Linked DNA regions of Schizosaccharomyces pombe. The protein of the gene in region 3 purifies or fractionates together with the protein of the main gene of each other region. This does not show direct contact. Each region holds a gene or a part of one and is shown on either strand. Other genes may lie near its edges. The genes, in order: srb11, med7, med13 and med15.

What was found.
Region 1: the proteins of med13 (region 3) and srb11 purify together in Schizosaccharomyces pombe (affinity purification with western blotting; 2 studies listed by BioGRID, with this or other methods). This does not show direct contact.
Region 2: the proteins of med13 (region 3) and med7 purify together in Schizosaccharomyces pombe (affinity purification with western blotting; 2 studies listed by BioGRID, with this or other methods). This does not show direct contact.
Region 4: the proteins of med13 (region 3) and med15 purify together in Schizosaccharomyces pombe (affinity purification with western blotting; one study listed by BioGRID). This does not show direct contact.

Annotation. Positions count from the first base shown.
Region 1 is NC_003423.3:2,314,089-2,318,205, reverse strand, and holds srb11 (cyclin CycC-like Srb mediator subunit Srb11), read right to left. Parts: upstream 2,152-4,117; 5' UTR 2,039-2,151; coding exon 2,007-2,038; intron 1,595-2,006; coding exon 1,515-1,594; intron 1,437-1,514; coding exon 1,070-1,436; intron 1,006-1,069; coding exon 798-1,005; 3' UTR 552-797; downstream 1-551. Other genes in the region: thioredoxin Trx2, read left to right, coding at 1-222; SPOM_SPBC12D12.05C (calcium-binding subfamily carrier protein), read left to right, coding at 2,220-2,381, 2,419-3,537; DNA polymerase zeta Rev7, read right to left, coding at 3,730-3,929, 3,999-4,102.
Region 2 is NC_003423.3:4,170,817-4,176,335, reverse strand, and holds med7 (mediator complex subunit Med7), read right to left. Parts: upstream 3,977-5,519; 5' UTR 3,695-3,976; coding exon 3,449-3,694; exon of another isoform or gene 3,383-3,448; coding exon 2,498-3,382; 3' UTR 2,338-2,497; coding exon of another isoform or gene 889-2,337; 3' UTR 548-888; downstream 1-547. Other genes in the region: SPOM_SPBC14F5.10C (ubiquitin-protein ligase E3), read left to right, coding at 1-84; adenylosuccinate lyase Ade8, read left to right, coding at 889-2,337; ubiquitin ligase Doa10, read right to left, coding at 4,851-5,519.
Region 3 is NC_003424.3:3,094,575-3,100,238, forward strand, and holds med13 (mediator complex subunit Med13), read right to left. Parts: upstream 4,094-5,664; coding exon 4,052-4,093; intron 4,017-4,051; coding exon 501-4,016; downstream 1-500. Other genes in the region: protein mug74, read right to left, coding at 1-311; protein Noc12, read right to left, coding at 4,687-4,845, 4,909-5,256; mtx2 (metaxin 1), read left to right, coding at 5,533-5,664. UniProt on the Schizosaccharomyces pombe protein: Component of the srb8-11 complex. The srb8-11 complex is a regulatory module of the Mediator complex which is itself involved in regulation of basal and activated RNA polymerase II-dependent transcription.
Region 4 is NC_003423.3:994,808-1,000,726, reverse strand, and holds med15 (mediator complex subunit Med15), read right to left. Parts: upstream 4,045-5,919; 5' UTR 3,931-4,044; coding exon 3,857-3,930; exon of another isoform or gene 3,811-3,856; coding exon 3,708-3,810; exon of another isoform or gene 3,662-3,707; coding exon 647-3,661; 3' UTR 552-646; downstream 1-551. Other genes in the region: pumilio family RNA-binding protein Puf2, read right to left, coding at 4,658-5,919.

The DNA.
Region 1 (4,117 bases), on a different chromosome or scaffold from region 3:
CCTTGCAAATACCTCAAACCGTTTCTTGAAAAATTAAGCGAACAAAATCAGAAAGCATCTTTTATTGCTGTTAATGCAGATAAATTTTCTGATATTGCTCAAAAGAACGGTGTTTATGCCTTGCCTACCATGGTATTGTTTCGTAAGGGTCAAGAATTGGACAGAATCGTCGGCGCTGATGTGAAAACTTTATCTTCTTTGTTGGCAAAATATCAAGAATAGAATATGGGATATTGGTGTCCCCATTCGTAAATTGCTTGATTTACTTTCTCGATTCAATTTGTTGATTGCACTGTATTATGTCAAAACTAGGTTTTAAAAACTTGACACGGCTTATTTTATTTAAGATTTAAGATTTAAGGGTTTTTACTTTATGAATTTCATTATATAATTGCCGGACCAAATTTGCTGAAATCAAAAATATCCTTTCAGAAATACCTAATAGGGGAATGTTCAACTCAATTAACACAGGAAGCTACAAGAATGAGCTATTTTATAACAACGTGAGTATTTCTATGAGGTGATTAAGGAATAATTTTTGAGGTTCATAGATAAAGCATTAATATATCCTTTACGTTTGTGACATAACCATTCGATTTTGGATATTATTACACAGATACTGCTCTATTTATTCATTTAGACATAACACCATGAACGAGAATGCGTATATAATACACGGTTTTAAACCAGACAACAAAACATAATTTCAGGCATTAATCAGCAATAAAGAAAAATCTAATTATAGTTTTCGTTTTTAACAAAATTTGAGGCTCTAAATGTATAGTGTATTCAAGAAGTTATTCAATATCCTCAAAATAATAAATAGAAATTATGCGTTGAACACATAATATAACTTTGAAGGCATCAGTACTCTTTATTAAATCCAAAAGCTTAGGAATTGTATTTTCATCATTGCAACAACTTATTAATAAAGCGGCATACGCAAGTTGATGAGGATGTGCCATTAAACATAAACTGCTGGCATATGAATCGTTAACAATGCTCCTATTTCCTCGATCGTTAGAAAAATCTAATCGACTGTGATTTTCAATATAAGAAGTATACATACCAAGCAAACTCAAGCTGCTTTTGATTGATAATGCCATCATGAAATGCTTGCTCAAGAGAAGTGTAGGGATGGTGAACAATGAGAAATGCATCAAGGACTGAAATGATTTCAAATTCTATTTCGGAAATATTAGAACGACTAAGTTTAACTTTTAGGCTCCAGAGATCATTAGCCTCATTGCAAATTGTGCGAATGTGAACAGGGCATTCTTCCACTTTGCATGATAAATAAATGCATGTAGCCACTAGCGCCTCCAAAGAAAAACCCTTTTCCTCATTTTTTTTTAGCATGTAACGCCTTAATAAAACGATGGCTGTAGCTAAGACACGCTGCCGAAGCCTGAGCCTGTCTCCAAACGTTTGTACAACTAGAATTGTATCAGCAAAACGAAGTGTAAATGAAATCACAAGCTAGAATAAGCCGAAAAAAATTAATGAAAATATACCTTTCCATTGATATATTGTATCTTTAGATAAGCAAGTTGGTTCCAAAGATTCCAAATCTGTGGATAAGAATAATTGTGTTCTGTAAGGTCAGCTTGAAAAAGTATACTAAGGAATAATAAAGGTTCGAAGATATTTTAAACAAAAACTAACAAAGAGGCTAAAATCGCTTTAAATTAAAGTCAACGAAACGAATGAGAAGCCGAAATAAACTGTGATTGCAAGACATTTGCGCAAAATGACTCAAACAAGATACATCCAGTTTAGTCGATACTCGTGACTAGAAGTAGACAGAAAAGCTATTCCTCTGATCAGTAATTAGACGTAGATCAGCTCACTCGCAAGCCTCAATTTGTCAAGAATATGTTCAGCAGTAATAAAATAGAAAAGCAGATATTCAAAACTCAATTAAGACATTTTAAAGAAGAATAGGAATGAATTAAAGGCCAATTACCTTCTCGTAAAACCTTTAAAATTAAAATTGATAACCTTACAATTGACTAGAGGCCCAGTAATTTGCTGCCATATATCACACGATATTTTAAGCTGATTGACCCTTAAATATCATAAGAGATAATAAAAAACAGTGTCACAGATTTTACTATTTACGATAAATTTTCATGGGCTGCTGGTATGGTCAGATACATTGACCTGTGAGGACTCACCTATTTCTCTTTACCCCGGTACACTCATTACCGGCATGAAGGATGCCAACTGAATTATCTGATATCACTATACAAAGCGTACTTCCATGTGATTATAGTTTGTTTAAAAATAATTTACGGGTTTCAAGGCTTCCAGAATCGCGATTTGTTTTTTCCCCAAAAGAAGAAATAAATTGCCAATCTCTTCTTCAAGGTCCGGAATTGGTATGTTTAATGTAAAAGGATTTTCTTTAACCATTAGAAAACTGCTTTAGATAATTTAAACTTCATTCATAAACAGAAATTTGAGCATCAATTTCGACATGGCTATTGGAAATTGCACCCACATCCGCATCATCAACATGATTCAATAATTCCTGCAAGTTGGATTCATGATACTCCGCATATGAAACTCGTCTTTCATCGTTTACAGAATTTACCTGACGGTGATCTGTTACTAGAGAATGACCCTAAAAATAACGTTGGTTATTTCATTAGCGGAGGGATTGCTGGAATCGTCTCTCGTACCTGTACAGCGCCATTAGATCGGCTAAAAGTCATGTTGATTTCAGACACTGGTTCTAAACCTTCCCCGAAGTATCCTTTTGCTACTTTGCTACATACCACTAAAGTTTTATGGAACCGTAATGGGATACGTAGCTTCTTTGTGGGAAATGGCATTAATGTTTTAAAGGTGATGCCTGAATCCTCCATAAAATTTGGTACATATGAAGCGATGAAACGAGTACTTGGAATATCTTCAAGCTCTGAAAATCATAGTCCTCTTTATTCTTACTTAGCCGGTGGCATGGCTGGTTCAGTTGCTCAAATGTTTATATATCCGGTAGATACTCTGAAATTTCGCATTCAGTGCAGCGATTTATCTCGTGGTCAGCATGGAAAAAGCATTATTTTGTCCAACGCAAAGGAACTTTATAAAAGCGTTGGGATACGGGGTTATTACAGAGGCGTGCTCGTGGGCATACTGGGTATGTTTCCATACAGTGCAACAGATTTGGGAACATTTGAGGGCCTTAAGAGGACATGGATAGGTATCTTAGCAAGTCGTGACAATGTCGATCCACAAGATGTGAAACTTCCTAATGGTTTAGTGATGGCATTTGGAGCACTTTCTGGAAGCACTGGCGCTACCATAGTGTTTCCACTTAATGTCATACGTACTCGTTTACAAACGCAAGGTACGTCTGCACATCCTGCAACATACGATGGATTTATAGACTGCTTTTACAAAACTACAAAAAATGAAGGTTTCCGTGGGCTTTATAAAGGATTGTCTCCTAATTTGTTGAAGGTAGCACCTAGTGTCGCTATTTCATATCTGGTATATGAGAATTGCAAAAAATGGTTGGGCCTAGAGTAAGGCACATTTTCTAACTATTTATAATTCTTATTGGTAGGGACCTTTACTTCAAAATTAATAATTCTTTCATTGATAATGATAATCCTTTATCGCAAAACTGATTCTTTATTTACTTTACCTAATCCCCTCTTATTTCATAGCAGATACCCATTTTTCTTGCACTACATTCTGAAAAGAAAATTAGAGATACCTCTAATCCGAATTTGTATATTTCTCGACCCAAATTTCCGTCATCATTGGTCCAATATCCACATTTCGAACAGGAATGGTGATGCCCTTAAATTGCCTTGTTGCGTCTGTTTCTCTCGCTTGCGGCGGAAGAAACCACTCTTCCCATTGTTTTGGTCTGGGAAAACCATCTTTTAGCGTTACCCGAAGCGTCCAAGTGCATTCTAATTTCAGTATTATTAGAATTGAATTTAGTAATAGAATATTTTTTTAGAAAATAATACTGTTTATACCTTGTTCAATAAGAGGAAGTCCATTTGTTATATTGAGTAATTGGATGAGCGAAGCTCTCATGTATTCAACGTAAGCATCTGTGAATGGCTCATTTGTTGAAATTCTACAATATTGTTAA
Region 2 (5,519 bases), on a different chromosome or scaffold from region 3:
CGACTGGTTTTGGTTCTTATTTGGTTAACTCAACTTCAAGAAAGTTGGTGGTATCGTGTTGGAAGTGCTTGCACCATTGCTTGAGTTTTAATTGTAGTTGAAGTCGCGCGCCCTTTGTATGGGCCATAAAATATAGCCTTTGATTTACTGAAAGGTTATCTCGAAAACGATCAAAATACATCTAATTACCCTATACAAATGAGCACTTAATTCTTGGCATCTGAGAATATCTGGGGTTGATTGTCATGAATATTTCTTTGACCAATTTAAAAACACCCATGCCAATACAGCAAGAATTCTCTTTTTGTTTCACACTTTATTTAATAGTTGATGTTTGCAACTTTTAATATTTATTTTTCTTGATGGTTTTTTGTTTATTACTTTTTCACTGTGAAGATATTTTAATAGTATAATCCAAAATAATTTTGGTTTTCGTTATCTGCTGATGAAGTAGATTTTGGCATTATAGAGAAATTAATTTTCTGCTCTTACTAGTTCACATTTCATATTCACTAGTTTAAGAATACAAGTTTCAATTGACGAAGTGGTCTCTGTCTTTTTCTTACTTAGGCATTGGTTAAAGTAAATTTATAACCCCTTTTGTAATATTGCTAACATATGTGGAAAGGCACCTTTACTCCTCTATACTTGATCTTCAATTGATTTGCTTGGTGGGTTAGGTGAATACTACATATGAAGCATGGAGGCACAATAAATTATCGTTTGATTTTTCATGCGCGTTAACTAATTAATATGGAAATTACAAAATAATAAATCTGATGGTCTTCTCAAGGTGGAGCATTTGTAGAGCACTACTTAGTGTTGGTTCCTCACTGTCCATTCACCACAACAGGTAGAAATTTTTTGGCGAGCTTAAGATTATCGAATATGGAGGATTATGGTTCATATAGTACACCATTGACAGCAAGATATGCTTCTGCTGAAATGTCTCATCTCTTTTCAAGAGAAATGCGTATTAATACTTGGAGACAATTGTGGTTGAATCTCGCCATTGCTGAAAAGCAACTCGGTTTAACTCAAATTACTGATGAAGCTATTGAGCAACTTAAAGCGCATGTCAAAATTACAGCTCCAGAATTTGAAATCGCTGCTAAGGAAGAGAAGCGTCAGAGACACGATGTTATGGCTCACATCTATACATATGGTCTTGCTGCTCCTGCTGCTTCTGGTATTATTCATTTGGGTGCTACTAGCTGTTTTGTAACCGATAATGCTGACTTGATTTTCTTACGCAGCGCCATGGATCTTTTGATCCCTAAGTTAGTCAACGTTATCAATCGTCTTAGCCAGTGGTCTTTGCGATACAAAGACATTCCTACTCTTGGGTTTACACATTATCAACCAGCTCAATTAACTACCGTTGGTAAGCGTGCCACTCTTTGGATTCAAGAGCTTTTATGGGATTTGAGAAATTTTGTAAGAGCTAGAAATGACATTGGTTTCCGTGGTGTCAAGGGTACCACCGGCACTCAGGCTTCCTTCTTAGCCCTTTTTGAGGGCGATCATGCCAAGGTTGAGGAATTGGATAAATTGGTTGCCAAGCTTTCCGGTTTTGATAACGTTTATCCTGTAACCGGCCAAACCTATGATCGTAAGATCGATATTGACGTTTTGCAACCATTAGCTTCTTTCGGTGCTACTGCTCATAAGATTGCAACTGATATCCGTCTCCTTGCTAATTTGAAAGAAGTAGAAGAGCCATTTGAGGCTGGTCAAATTGGCAGTTCTGCTATGGCTTACAAGCGTAATCCAATGCGTTGTGAACGTATTTGTTCTCAAGCTCGTTATATTATGAACTTGATTCCTAATGCTCTTAATACTGCTTCTGTTCAATGGTTTGAGCGTACTTTGGATGATAGCTCTAACCGTCGTTCTCTGTTACCTGAAGCCTTCTTGTTTACAGATAGCGTTCTTAAGATTCTATTGAACGTTATTTCTGGTATGGTCATTTATCCTAAGGTTATTCAAAAACACATTCGTGCTGAATTGCCCTTCATGGCCACTGAAAACATTATCATGGCTATGACTAAGCACGGTGCTAGTCGTCATGAGTGTCACGAGCAGATTCGTGTCTTGTCTCATCAAGCTGGCCGAGTAGTCAAGGAAGAGGGAGGGGATAACGACTTAATTGAGCGTATTAAGAATACTCCTTATTTTGCTCCTATTTATGATGAGCTAGATTCTTTGTTGGATGCATCCACTTTTGTTGGACGTGCTCCCGAGCAGACTGAATCCTTTGTAAATAAGGACGTCTCTCAAGCGCTTGCGCCTTTCAAGAGCATGATCACTGAGGAAAAGGTTGATCTTGCCGTTTAAATATAAATTTTGGTTTGCTTCGTAGTGGATACGAACTTTTTTGATTTGTTTAAAATAGAAAGAATACATTTTTTTCATCGTTAGTATGAATTTTTGTTTGTAAAACAAATATTAAAAGCAGAGGAAATAGCAAAATAACTCTACTAGATAAACCGGTTTATTAGCTAAGATCTCGTTTTATCACGTCTTCCATTAATTCAAGCGATTTTTTTAATTTCTCGTCATTTTTTGAGAACATAGACCTAGACTTTTGCTCATCTTCAGCGCCTGACAATGGCTTTTTTATTGACGACTTTAATTGTTGAATCACATCTCCTTCCTTCTCCATATTAAAATCTAATGATTTGTACTTTTCCAAAGTTTCGGTCATTTGCCGGTTATGAGTACGTAATAGCTCAACCTGCGACTCTTCATGTTTTAATTGTTTTTCTAAAAGCATAATTAAAGATTCACGAGATTGGTGTGGACGATAGTCATTAATTAAATGATGGAGATTGAGCAGCAACACCCTAATGTTTTCAACCTTAGAAGGAAACTGTTCGGGTGCCTTCGCCATAATCCCTAGGAGTTCAAGAAAGTTAAGCATAAGTGAGCGGGATAAAAATCGTAGTTCATAAGCTCGCCGGGGAATTTTTATCAAATCACTCGTTTCTCCATCCTTTGATTTTTGATCTGCCCGGAAACCTTCGTTTACCGAAGAAGCTGAAACAGCTCCAGTATCTTGAGAATCTAAAGGTTCCTTCATTTGTATATCCTCCTCTTCCTTTTTAAGAGAGGGCTCAGTCTTTTCCTCGACATCTTTCATTGTCTTATCAGATTCATTATCTTTTTCTTTCATGGCCGTATGTTGATCATCCTCCAGAATTTTTTCATTTTCAATTGGTGAATTTTTATCATAATCGTGTACACGAGTAAAACTAGTACCAACTATCGCATTGGATTTAGGATCATATTCTACCACTTCAATTTCATCTTCTCCATCTTTTATATCTTTATATAATTCAGGGATTCCAAATTCTTTGAGTGAAGGTATAGCTTCGTCTAGCTATAAGCGATATAAGTTAGTGAGAGATGAAAAGCAGCTAATGTAAAACAATAAAAATAAACTTACCCTCCATGTGTCACCAAACATTTGATAAGTCCCAGATGTGAGACATGACGGCTTCTTAAACAGCTTGGCCAGCGACTCTATTTCTTCTTCAGTCTTAGGTTGTAAAGTATTCGCGTCATCCTCATGTTTTGCTTCTTTCTCCATATTTGAAATTACTTTTTCTATGTTTTCTCTTGTAAATAACTTATAATATGGAGGTGGAGGCGGAAAAGCCGAAAACAGTTGTACTCCTTCGTTTGGTTCCATTCTCTTTTAGTTAAATAGTATTTATCGTAAACTAGATTTTAGATTGATGTAACTGTCTTCCCTTTTATCGCTGATTCTTAGTATAAAAATGCCTGCTCTTTTTTTTTCTTTTTTTTTTTAGAAAAGCAGTTTCTATAATGTTAAGAAAACCGTAATTGAACAACGATATGACGCTCAATAACTGATTGACATGAAAATCCTGAATATAAAAACACTTGAAAATAACCGATCTTTTGCTCAAAATGGATTTTGGAATAGTCAGTAAAAGTGGGTAGTTTTATCTGGCATATGGAATACGAAGTGAAAGCTTCTATCACCAATAAATTTTGCTATAAATTGTTTATTTCGATATCTTTAATCATTCTTGGTTTTAAATTAGTTTCACTGATTAAAGTAGCTTAAAATTATACACTTCTTGGCTTTTTTAATTTTTAGAGAATTGCAGTGTTTCTTTTAACAACACTGAATTATTCTTTTTAATAAATGGGCTTGGAAACGAATTAAGTAGGAGTTTATTACTTGTAATATTACAGCTTATCGCTATTGTTGAATGCCATAAAATCCTTAACATGAATATTTTACTAGGCCAACATAATCGTAAAATTTAAATTGATTAAGTGATAAAGTATTTTGATATTCCTCTATACGAAGGATTAGTTAGTATTGAATGGATTACAAAATCAACACATGCAATACTACGAACTTTTACATTTTCATAAATTTGTCACATAACCGTAGTAAACATATTTGTTATAACTGTTTCTTTTTAGTAATTAACTAATTTATCCATTGCTAGTGATTGTCTGCAAATTTTCGCTGCTACGGTTTGATACAGTCATCAGATACATCAAAGAAATTCAACGATAATTGATATTTGTTCAATTTTGTAAAGAAAATTAAATAAATAGCACCATATCATGATAATACCAGTTACGATAAATTGGATAAGATGCCTGGCAATATAACAATAACAAACCAATTGTTCAAACGATGACTTTTTGTAATTTCCTGCAACTAAACTAACAGTTTCGTAGCAATTAAAACAAAAACATCATTCAAATAATATACATTCACAATGCTCTATATTACTTCAGATGTCCTCGCTCCAGTTTTCCAAAGAGAAGGATAATCTGAAAAATAGTAGATGACTAGACTTTTATTTTTCGGCAGACTCAGAAATGGCTGGAGGAGCAGATTCGCCAAAGTTGTGCAGTCTCGTACCAACTAAGTATAAATCATCACGTATTCCTTGCGACCATTTACTACTAGTTTCTACAAAACGGCGCCCCAAGAGTGCTAGCCCAAGTAATGCTAAAAATATAGGATGCATCAACCGATACATAAGGGTTTTAGATGCAGAAGGGAAAATGGATGAAAGAAAAGGATAGGTTACGTAAGTAAAAACACTTGGCAACACAACGGCGGCTATTAAGGCTGATGTAAAAGGGATGAGAACATTTTTTAATAATGGAAGAATTTGAGGATTCGTCCATCTATCACGAAAAGCATCTTGAAACAACCTTGAAACGAAACGCTCTTCATTAGAAGTCACAGTAAAATATATCATACGAAGCATAAAAAGACCAATCACCCAGTTTTGGAATGCATCGAGAGCAAGAGTCCCTCTGTTAAATATCGTTCGGAAAGGTATAGCGACGTATAATTCCCATATAGCTCCAAGTAAGAGTGGTAAGATAAATATTCCAAGGAATGCTAATAAAAGATATTTTAACGCCATTACTAAGCTCCTCATAACAATTTTTAAATTTAGTTTATTCATAAGGCTTCGTAAATAGTCAAGTTTCAGAAACTTAACAGACGCGTG
Region 3 (5,664 bases):
CTAGATTTATCTAAATGGGAAGTTTCATTAGGCCAAATACTCCCATTTGCTAATTTTTTTTCAACTACTGTTTCTCTTGGTTTCAAAAACGAAATTTGATCCGATGTCTTTTCGTTTAGAAACTCTTTGTTTGAAGAAACAACTAAATCTAATTCCTTCAACTGTTTACATAAGATTGAGTTTTCCTTATCTGAAAATAGCTCATCTTTTACTTTGCATTCCGACCTTTTAGTAAAAACCAAATCGGTTTCAGGTTGTTGAGATATTTGGTCAATCTTAAAACACTTAATTGAGGACTTATGTTTCTTCATTATGTTTTGCGTTGGCTAATTTCATGGTTAAAAATGGCGGAATATGAAATAGTCGACAGTAAACAAACACTGTGTTTTCACTATGTCAACCTTCCCAATCTAGTAAACAAAAACGATAACAAGAGTAAACCAATTTTGGCACAAGCGCATTATAAACTTATACTGTATAAATTAATAATACCCCAAAAACTAAGAGGTCACAGGATGTGTAATGTCTGATGCCATAAACTGCAATAGTTGCTTCTGGTATAAAACGGTAGAAATGTGTAATGGGAGTGAAGAAAAAGAAACATACGTTCGAAACTGTAAATAAATCATACTTAAATAATGTTTTAAAATAAGATTTAACATTAAATAAGGATCATGATTTCGAGATATCAAAAGATGAATGCTTAACAGTGGTAAATAAGATTCGTCCTCGTCTAATGCTAAGTATCCTCTAGCTAAGATTGTAGAAATTTTCTTAAATTCATCGTTCGGCACAGGCATTGCCATTTCTCGGATAAACGCAACCAAAGAGAGCTCATGACTACTATTATTACGAATAACTGTGCTTGAAGCCGAATATGGAATCCTTGAAAACACTTTCGAAGTTGAGCCAGGTCCGTGCTCTGCTGAGCAGTAACCAACTGTAAGAGAAACATTGCCTTGTAAGTTTTCAGGTATTATTGCTTGATCCCAAAACAGATACTCTGCGTCAGACATCTCACCAATCTTCATGACGATTACTATCCAATCCATGTGCATTGAGTTAAGGAACGTAAATGTGACTTCTAAAATTTGCTGTAAAGCATCTTCAATTTCAAGGTCTTGGAGAAAATAGCGTCTCTCAGTTTCAAATTCTCCATAGGAATCATTCCAATTGCAAATAAGCAAGTGCTCTTCGACAGTTGTATACGTTACATGTAGCGCATACTCTCCCAAAGCTGAAGATCTGGGATTAATATCTTTAAGCTGATAGTTAAGAGTTGATAACAAGGGCTTTTTCAGGAGAAAAGCCGGTTCACGTCTCTTTAATGAACCATCCATCAATAAAGGATCATTATTATAAATGTCGAGTGAAACTTTTGTAAAAAAAGAGTTCGAATTTGTAGTATGCGAGTTGGGTGAATCAAAAATAGAATTCGGAATCGTGCATATTCGTAATGATTTATCTTCAAATTTATTATCCCCAAGTCTCTTGATTGAGTCCTTTACGCATATAAAATGTTGACAAGCCTTTAAAAGTTTTTCGGAATCATCTTCTAAAAAATAAAAAAAAAGTACGTTTTTTCCGCTTAATTCATTAACACAAACACTCGCTAGTTGTTCATAAGAGGTTGCTGTATCGCTTTGAGTTGTTTCATTATCATCATAATTATCTGTTTCATTAATATTTGTACTGAATCCCATCACTCTTTCGTTAATAGAAGTTTCAGATAAATTCAGTTTTCCAAGTTTGCAGTTTTCATAAGCCAGCTGAACATCATAAAAAAAGCTGATAGCCTTGCTGCTTACGTCGGGAGATTTGGAAGAGAGCAAAAAAACTTCAAAATCTTTGCTCTCACCATACGGTTGAAGACATAAAGATATCCAATTCTCTGGTGCCGAAGAATCTAAAGACAACTTTTTTTCGTTGTATTTGAGCAAAACACGAGGAGGTTGGGAGAAGTTTACCAACGTTTCAGAAAAGTTAACTTGGGATGGAGGATTGTCATTTAATGCGTGATGCCCGTTATTAATCGAGGACAGATAATTTTCTGGGCTTTTGCTCAAGAAAACAGCCGAACTTTCACCTAACAATATTTTCTCTAAATAATCCCTAATAGGCTTCCGCATGTACGAAGAAAAGTTTAAAACATCTTGAGACATCATGAAACTGGTAGTCATGCTTTTCCAAAAAGGTAACGATCTAAACCATAAGTTTTGAGACAAAATAGCGTTTAACAAGTCATTTTTTCCCAAGGTAATAGTGGGTTGTAAATCTAACGATTTTAAAAAACTGAAATCAAAATTTGCTGACTTGGATTCATTCATAAGAACCTGATGTGCTAACGATAGCGTATCATAATTTGAATCGGGGTTACTTTGTTCTGAGATATTAGTGGGTGTTTTAGAAGATGAAAAAAAATCGTGATTATACTCCATTGTAAAATCTTGTTGTATAAAGTTTGTAGAGCAGATGTCTTCATCTGTACTAGTTACCGATTCAGCGACCGAAAATGATTCAAATAAATCTTCAGTTGACAAAGAAGGAGAAGGGCACCAATATTTACCACCATAGTTATACTTCTGAAAAATACTGGAGATAGACGAGGGAAAAATTACCGCAGAATAGTATGAAGGCATATACGCAGATGTAGGGATTTTAGAATCTGAAATATTTAAAGAAATTTCAGGAATATCAACTTCGACGTTGTATGGATTTAAATCTTCGGTTACCATTCTATCATCCGATTGAATTTCCATTTGCTTTGGAATATTTTCGTGAGTATTCAAATTTGGACTGGTGTTTGATTGAGAGATGGAAGTGTTGATTTCCTCATTATCTAAGGTTGTCATAGTATTTGCAAAATTAGGCTCAATCATCTCAACTTTTTCTTCAACGTTAGGTAAGTCAAAGTAATCAAAATCAGCCTCTGTTATTCCAACATCGTCTATTTCCTCCATTAGTATGTCATCTGAAACATTATGATCAGCAACAAGTATCTCTTCATTTACTTTTATTGAAGCAGGTGTAGATTTTGCAGAATTTATCGAATAATTAACGGGAGAAGAACTATGAGAAGGAACCAAGGTTACAACGGCATCAGCAGTCTCTTCCTTTTCTGTAAAACCTTCTTTTCTTTTATCTGAAGCTTCCGCTTCTTCATTTGCGAACTCAGTTAATTCCTTTTTATTGTTTACGACGTTTGAAGGGAGGACTAGGTTATTCAAATCTGTAAGGTTGCTAGATAATGAATCATCATTCATTCGAAGGGCCGACGTTTCCAAAAAGCAAAGTTCTAAAGGCCAGGAAAATTCTAATGCCGAAGATTCTAAGGTAACACCCACCCACTTTGAAGTAGTCGTAAGAGAGAATCCATAGCGGTGTTTCAATGCATCAACAGTTTGAGCAGATGCGTTGGCATGCACAGAGGTTAATGTTGCCAAACAACCAGTCGGGGCTAAACGAATGACAGTGTCTAACTTTTTAACCAAATTATCCACTTCCGACAAACGATATACCGTCTGCCTTGTAGGCTTTAAGTAAAATTCTATATGGCCTTTCGATAAGACAGAAAGCTGTAAATCCACAACAGGATATCCATATATGTTCCAGAGCTGGGTATCGAAAGAAGGGTGTAATTTTAAAGGAAGAAGGACACCATAAATTGGAACAAAGTTGTATTCTTTGCACAGCCAATACAACACCGTTTTTTTCAATCCTTGAAGAAAGTTTATATACAGGTCTAATAGAAGAGCTAATTCATCTTTTTGAAAAAGAGCTAATCTGGAAAATGCACCTGAATTAAGTAGCATAAAAGAAGATGATTCCTCAGGAATAGATGGAATGGCTTGAAAATCATATACAAAAAGTAAGTCATTCTTCGCGTGAACAATGCAATCCTGATTTCGTAGATAAGCTTCTTTGTCTTCTAAGAGGGAAGCAGCATCCTCATTGTCCTTTCGCTGAACCTGATACTTCGCATAATATATAGTGTTAGGGCAAGGCTGATCAGTTAGCTTTTAATTTATCATGTTATAATAGAAATAATTACAATTGTTTTAATACTAATTAGATGAACTCCATCATGTACCATGGCAGAGGATAATGGCAGATTATTATATAAGAGGAAGTAGCTAGCGTACACGCGTAAAGAAAGCACATGCGGCCACTGTCTCATTTTAACATATTTCTTAAAACACACCTGATACTTTTACTGTTAATAATAAAATAAACAAACATTAAACTAACGGTTTAGTATGCAAATAAGCATAAATGCTTCGAAATTGATGAAGGAAATATATACTGACATATAATGTTTATATTAATCCCGTAATGACCGCTATTTTAATAAAAAAAGAATGCTCCGCCTTAAATTCCTATCCTTACTTTACAAATAATTAAAATGAATGAAAGTGTAGCAATAAAGGTCCAACACAATTGCAACTCCTTCAGGTAATATGTATGAACCTATCCCTCAGTATAATGTTAGTTAAACATTACATTCCCTTAAGACTCCTCTTGAATGATGGTTTAAACAACTCATGAGTGATGGCATCTGAAAAGTGAACGAGAAGATTACAGAGAAATTGGGATTCCCCAATCAGTTTTAACAGATACACTCATTGCTTATAAAGTTATAATAAGAAGGAAAATTTTTAAATAAATAAACTAGTTGTCAAGCGTTTTTTACTCATCATCCGAATCGACATCAACTGAATCAGAATTTTCAGACGAACTTTTTTCGATTTCGGTTTCATCTTCTGACTCAGTGTCTAGAGCACGAGCATCAAAGCTGTTTTTAGAAAAGCCCAATTTTTTGGCGAACAAATTCAACTCATTTGCAAACTAAAACAGAGGATATTAGAACCTTTTGAAAGAAGTAATTAAGAAACATCGATATTGACTTACAGCATCAGTCCCATCCTTCTTGGGTTGTTTACGATTGGGTTCTTCGAATTCCAACTCTTCATCGCTTTCTACATCTTCAATCAGCTCCAGATCCTCTTCGGTACCTCCGAGTTCTTTAATATCATGGAGTAAACCATACGATTGCTTTCTTTTCCGATTCGCTTTAGGCTTTTCCAATGATGATTTGGGTTCCTTAGGACCAACGGAACTTTTATGTTTATCAATAGTTTTGTTTTCCTCTGTTTTGTTTTTTAGTGATCTAGCAGAAGAATTTTCCACAACTTTTGAATTTTTTTTCATGTCCCTCTCGACGACATCCTTGATATCTGAAAATAAAGACAAATCCATATTATGATTTATGTCAAATAAAATAAATACAATCTTTTGTCGAGTTTATCGATTATTAGAGGATGTGAAAATCCAACGCAAAATAGAAAAGTGTGTATGCAGAATTAATGCTTGGTATAGTAGAAACAACAGAATATTTTCTCCTACTACAATATAGGTAGAAATTTGAAGAAATTGCACGCTTTACCACTTAATCTAACAATTTCGCTAAGCACACTATTGATGGTATTGGTGTAAACTCTTTAGAATTAGCAAACTTAGTGACAAGTGAAAAGGATGGGCGGTCTAACAAAATTTTCGAGTTATTTTCATTCCATTTTCTCCCGCTTCCCTTTAATAACGTTTTCTAATCCTTACCCGGGCGAAAATGAAGATTACAAAACGAAAACAGTCATGTATTTGACTATG
Region 4 (5,919 bases), on a different chromosome or scaffold from region 3:
AGCTCAATAAATTATCGGGAGTTTTGAAATATTAATTTGTTTTCTCATGTTAGATGGTAATTCGAGATAGCTATTTGGCGGTTAGGTTAAACCAAAGCTCTTGAACCAAAGCAAAAACATAAACTGATAGCTACTTTTAGAATATTTGAGATAGTAAACATTAAAAACTATACAAATATTCATTTAAGAGATTACAAATTAATTTTCAACACCAACCGGTGCACTAATAATAAATTAACTAAAATCAACTTAAACGTATGAATAAATAAAATTTGTAACGGTCCTCATTATACCGACATTTTCATGTTCACAATGAGTCTCATAGACAGGTCATTAATCGGGAAAAAGCCATACTTTCTGGCATTGTGCCTAATAAAGGTACAACCGGATCTTCAAAATATTAAATTCAGGTTCTATTTTTATCATTGTATATAAACACAAGGACTATACAAACCTTTTCCCAATCACAATTTTCAACATAACAGATGCTTTCAAAAAATGGAGAAACGTTGAATAAACAGAGAAACAATATATGTCTATGGTATTCATAAGATATTGTAGAAGGACAAATATGTCCAATTTGCTTTTTGAGACGACGTGCAATAAATAAATAAAAAACAATTGCGAACCATCGTATCACAAAATTTTAAATCACAACTTGCCATATGTTTGTAGATGTTGGAAATGCGATGTTGTCTTCATCTTCGTTACCCACTTGAAGCTGCTTTAGCAAAACTTTCTTTTCATGAAGCATTTCATTCCATGGATCTTTATCGTCGATCGCTGGATCTAGAAAACATGATTCATCAAAATTAATTTGAGTAAGCTTATTTTGCATTTTAGTCTTATCTTTATCTGCATCCAAAGCAAGATTCATGGTATCTGGTTCCTTTAAAAATCCGATTTCAGAGTTGATTTCATTACCTAAATCAGCCCAAAGCTCCGAATCATCATTAAATGAAAATTTTCCGTCCAATGACAAAATATTAGATGGACTAAGTGAGTTTTTGTTATCTGTAAATGATAAATCTGGAGTTGACGGAGGAATGAAAAACGACTGAGGTGTTTTCAAAATAGAACTAGGAGTCTGTGATGATTTGATAGCAGAAACTTCTTCTTCATGGTCTACAGCCACAAATGCATCGATTGCGTACTTCAAAGGATTAGCAATTGCTTCTTCCCGAGCTTTAGCCATTCCTTCCTCTTTGGCTATAGTACCTGGAGAAACACTAGAAGGTATTTCATCTACACTTGACATTATAACATCAGGAGTATTTACGACTGAATCCTTAGGTTTTTGAACTGTCGATAAGTTTTCTATCTTTTTCTTCTTAGAAGGCGGTAACTTGAGATCTTCTGGTTTTAAACCATGTTTCATGACTTGTGATGCAATCTTCTGTTTGGCTTGCAAATCCGGCTGAGATACATCCAAGGATTGGAATGCAAGTTTACTGTCAACAGGAAAAGATGTGTTACCAACAGAATTTGCTTTGGCTGCAGGTTGGGCTTGCCCAGGAACACTGGGTTGCGCATTAGGAATTGATCCATTGATAGGACGTACATTGGATGATACAGAAGGAGCTTGAGGAAACTGGGAAGCCTGTTGTTGCTGCTGTGACTGTGGCTGTGGCTGCTGCTGTTGATTAATAGATGCAGTACGGAGCGAGGAGATATGGGCAAGAGCATTTTGAATACTCATATTATTGTTATTTACTTCATGGTGAAGTCTTAACAGTTGAGCTTTCACAAAGGCAAAATAGCGACTGGTTTTCTCCTTAATCTTGGCCAATGTTTGCGGAGCACAAGTAAAAACACCTTGCTGAAGACCTTCAAGTTGTAATTTAAATATATGACGCATTTGTATCAATTGAATCGTGGCTTCCTCATTGCCTGTCAAACAGTAAAACAGGCAAATCAGTTGATTTGTACGGCTAAACATAGGATATGCAGATTTGATAAGACTCGCAATCATAACCTTTTGATCATGAGGCAAATCAAGAGGCACTGGCCGCATCAAACTATGCATTACTCTTTCGGTGAGTTCTCGAATACGCGAAGTCATCTTTTGTTGTCCCATAGTTCCTCCACACTCAAGCAGTTGCTGAACGATAGAAGCACTACTATTTCCAGCCGCTAAGTTTGTAGGCCTTGAAGCAGCGGTGTTTCTTGCACCACTAAGAGGAACTGAAAGTGCTTCATTCCCCGCCTTCGTAAAAGCTGAAGGAGGACTTGCAGAACTTCTAAATGTAGACGATGTATCAAGATTAGGAGGTAGATTATTTGAATAGTCGACCTGAGATACAGGCGGCTGAGTGGGTTGAGTAGCGTTGCGAGCCTTATTTGTCAAATAGCTTTGATAATTAGTTTTGGCGGCATTAGCTGAAAGCTTTGTATTGATCGGTTGTTGGCCATTTTGTGAAGTAACAGAAGCACTTGTAGGATTAGAAGTACGGTGCAACTGCTGTTGTTGTTGTTGCTGTTGCTGAGCAAATGCTTGCTGCGAGAACGCTTGGGGGTTGCCCGTATTATCAGGTTGTGGATTCCCCAGTTTATTGGTATTAGGGGCATTTTGCGAGTTCATTCGAGCATTCTGTATTTTATTAAGCTGTTGCTGTCGGTGCTGCAAAATAATTTGTAGGTGCTTTCTATATAGCATACCTATTAGCTTCAATTGTTCCGGAGGTAAACGCTGAGATTGTCCTAATTCTAACACATCTCTCCATATTTTGACATTTGGAGGTAAATTAGGAATTTGATCGAACAATTGCTTAGGAACCGGGATATTTAGCATCTCAATATTTATACGGTTATTATTCGTAGCATTCACATTAGGATTATTTGGAGGAGCAGCAGTTCGCTGAGGTTGCTGTTGCTGAGTAGAAGGTTGGTCTTGTGGAGACATACTTTGAAGAGACTGGGCACCAACGTTACCTTGAGGGTTTGGAAAAAAAGCATTTTGCGGAGCTTGCTTTTGTTGTTGTTGTTGTTGTTGTTGTTGTTGTTGTTGTTGTTGTTGTTGTTGTTGTTGTTGTTGTTGTTGTTGTTGTTGTTGTTGCTGCTGTTGTTGCTGCATATGCTGCAATGAACGAAATTTTTGAATCTGGTTTTGATATATTGAAATAAGTCTCGCAGGTGGCATCGATTGTAATTTTTGCATAGGAATTGGTGGATTGCCATTCCTTGCAAGCAAAGCTGTAATTTGATTACATAAATTATTTAACTGTTGTTGGGTCAATGCAGGAACTATTCGACCAGGAACACTACCAGATCTTTGTTGGTTTGCTTCTGTATTGGGAGCTGTTGGTGATGAAGCTTGCGGTTGTTGTGTTTGTTGAGGTTGTTGCGACTGCTGCTGTTGCTGCTGCCTTTGTTGCTGGATTTGAGATTGTTGAAGTAAAAATTGCCTTTGTTGTGGGGTCAACTTCATATTTCTAGCAAACTGTTGCATTCCTGCTTGCATTGGAACATTTTGGTTTTGAAGTCTCGGCATTACTCTGGGATTATTTGCCAACCTGTTAGGTCCGGCAGTAGGGAGAGCTCCAACATTACCCGCATTGTTATACACAGAAGGCATTTGTTTCATTTGGGTTGCCTGCAATGTGTCACGTATTTGATCTCTCAATTGTGCTGTCTTCTTGCCACATGTAGTTAAGTATTCATTCTATTACTGGTAAGTACAAAATTAATTGAATTTTTTTTTTCAATACCTTGCTACTGGCACCATCAAAAGCCTGACGCTCAAATGACAAAGCCATATTCATGAGTTGGACTTCGGAAATTGAGGGAGAGATAATTCGTAAAGTTTGAGCACTAAATACAAAAGTTAGATGAAGGGTTTTAAAAAATGATGGCATACATTTGCAAGGCAATGCTCTGTCTCTCATTAGGACGAATTTGTGCTTGCCATCCCTTATCAACATTCCGGTTCATCCCTCCAAATATATGATCTATAAGACGTTAGTGAATTATTGTACATTACTAAAAAGCGTACCAGTTATTTCTGATAATTTTGCAAATATATTTATTGCAACGCTGATGGTCGGTGGAAGACGAACTTAAGTTACCGTACACCATATATCAGCGCTGATCGTCACAAGGTAACCAATACAGTGGTTTGCTCACAGCTATCGATGATAAGCTAAATCACGGTCGCTGATACATGAGAACACGTTAAAATTCATTATTTAGTATAAATCTAAGATAGAAATAATCTAAAGCAACAGCATACTTGTTTATCAGAGGCTGGTAGATTATGCCAGTCTTTAACCTTATCCTACTTCAATATTTGTGTACCACAATTTCGTTAATATATATTATATAATAGCTAAATGTAAGTGTAGAGGATATTAAACCACCAAAATAACTTTTCAAGTATAGTTTAAAGGCGTAACGTTTCATTAATAATAAAAACAATAAACTGGACTGAAAATAGATATCAACAGAAACAAATGGTTTTTGCTCTTAGATTACTGGGGAGCGAAAAACTCTCCTTTTCTAAGCGATAGTTGTAAACGTTATTATAATCATCATAATGCTAACTTCCTGGCTCTAAATAAAAGATATAAACTGTTGAATATATATCAAAAATAGTTGAATCCTTGCTTGCCATGAAGAAAACCAAAATTTTTTTCTCATAAATGTTCGATAATGCAGTTATTTACGCACATACCTCAGCCAGCTTTTTTAATTCAGAGGATCCGCGATCCTCCATAGTGCCCAATACGTTTCGAACAGCACTTTGTAACTGTTGTCGATGCGAGGCTGATATATTTTCGTGAGTCAAGAGTTTGCAAATAAAAGACGGACCATAAGTTTGTTCGAAAAGTATTTTCTCTAAAGAGTTTGGATTGAGATCATTTTGCGTATCCAAAATAGCATCAACGACTAAATCACCACAAGCAGTATCACCTTGTGATATGGAAATTATTTTAAGAAGGGAATTATAAGCTAGTCGATGAGTGCAAACTCTAACAATGTCTTGAACAAATCTCCGGGTTAAAAGAATAGGAATATGAGGATAGTTCATATTTTCAACAAGATAAGTTAACAGTAGCGTACCATTACCGTTCATAGCTAAGTGTACGGAATAGACTGTTATAGCAGCAGCAACAAGTACACGTTGTTCTTCAGTCACATCAGGACTCTCTAAACAGGCGCGGACGGCACGTGATCCATAACGGCTTTGAGCAATTACCCAAAACTGGTTGAGAATGGCTTCAAAAACAAAATCGTTCATTGGAGCACCAAATTTCAAGCATGTTTGCACAACATAGTTGCCAAATTGATCAGCAAAAAGTAGTGGAATGTAGGGCTGCAAGTGTTTAGCAATAAGGCGCATTTGTGCCTCAGTTGATGCCACGTCAACAATCTTTTGAGCAGCCCATGTACCGTTTTTGTGAATACCAATTTGGGCCAAATGAGGAGCGATGCGTTCAAGCATCATTTCCTTTACGGGGTCTGAACAATAATCGAATAGCTTTTGTACAACGGTGTTACCAAGATGATCGCTCGATAAGTCTGATACTTCATCAAGCCAATTAATGGCAATGTCTTCAACTTCTTCCTGAGTGCAAAGACCATTATCAATACGCTTACGAACTTGACGAAGTTTGGGTGCATTTAATCGACGACTGCTGAACGCTTTTGAAATAGACGGAATCTGAGCAGCAAAGTCAGTCAATTCACAAGCAGCGTTAAGAATCTGATAGATTTTAGATAAATCCTTAAATCCGAATGACTGAACAACGTTAATCAAATCGTCGTAAACCTCACGTAAAGAGGGGACGAACGAGACGTTCGAAAAGGCTTTATTTAAGCCGTCAACGGCAGAGTGGGAAGACTCAGAAGAAGATGAAGCAACTTTAGCAAAGCTGATACAAACTGGATCGGAACCAAAAAATATCCTTTTGCCATTGAGCT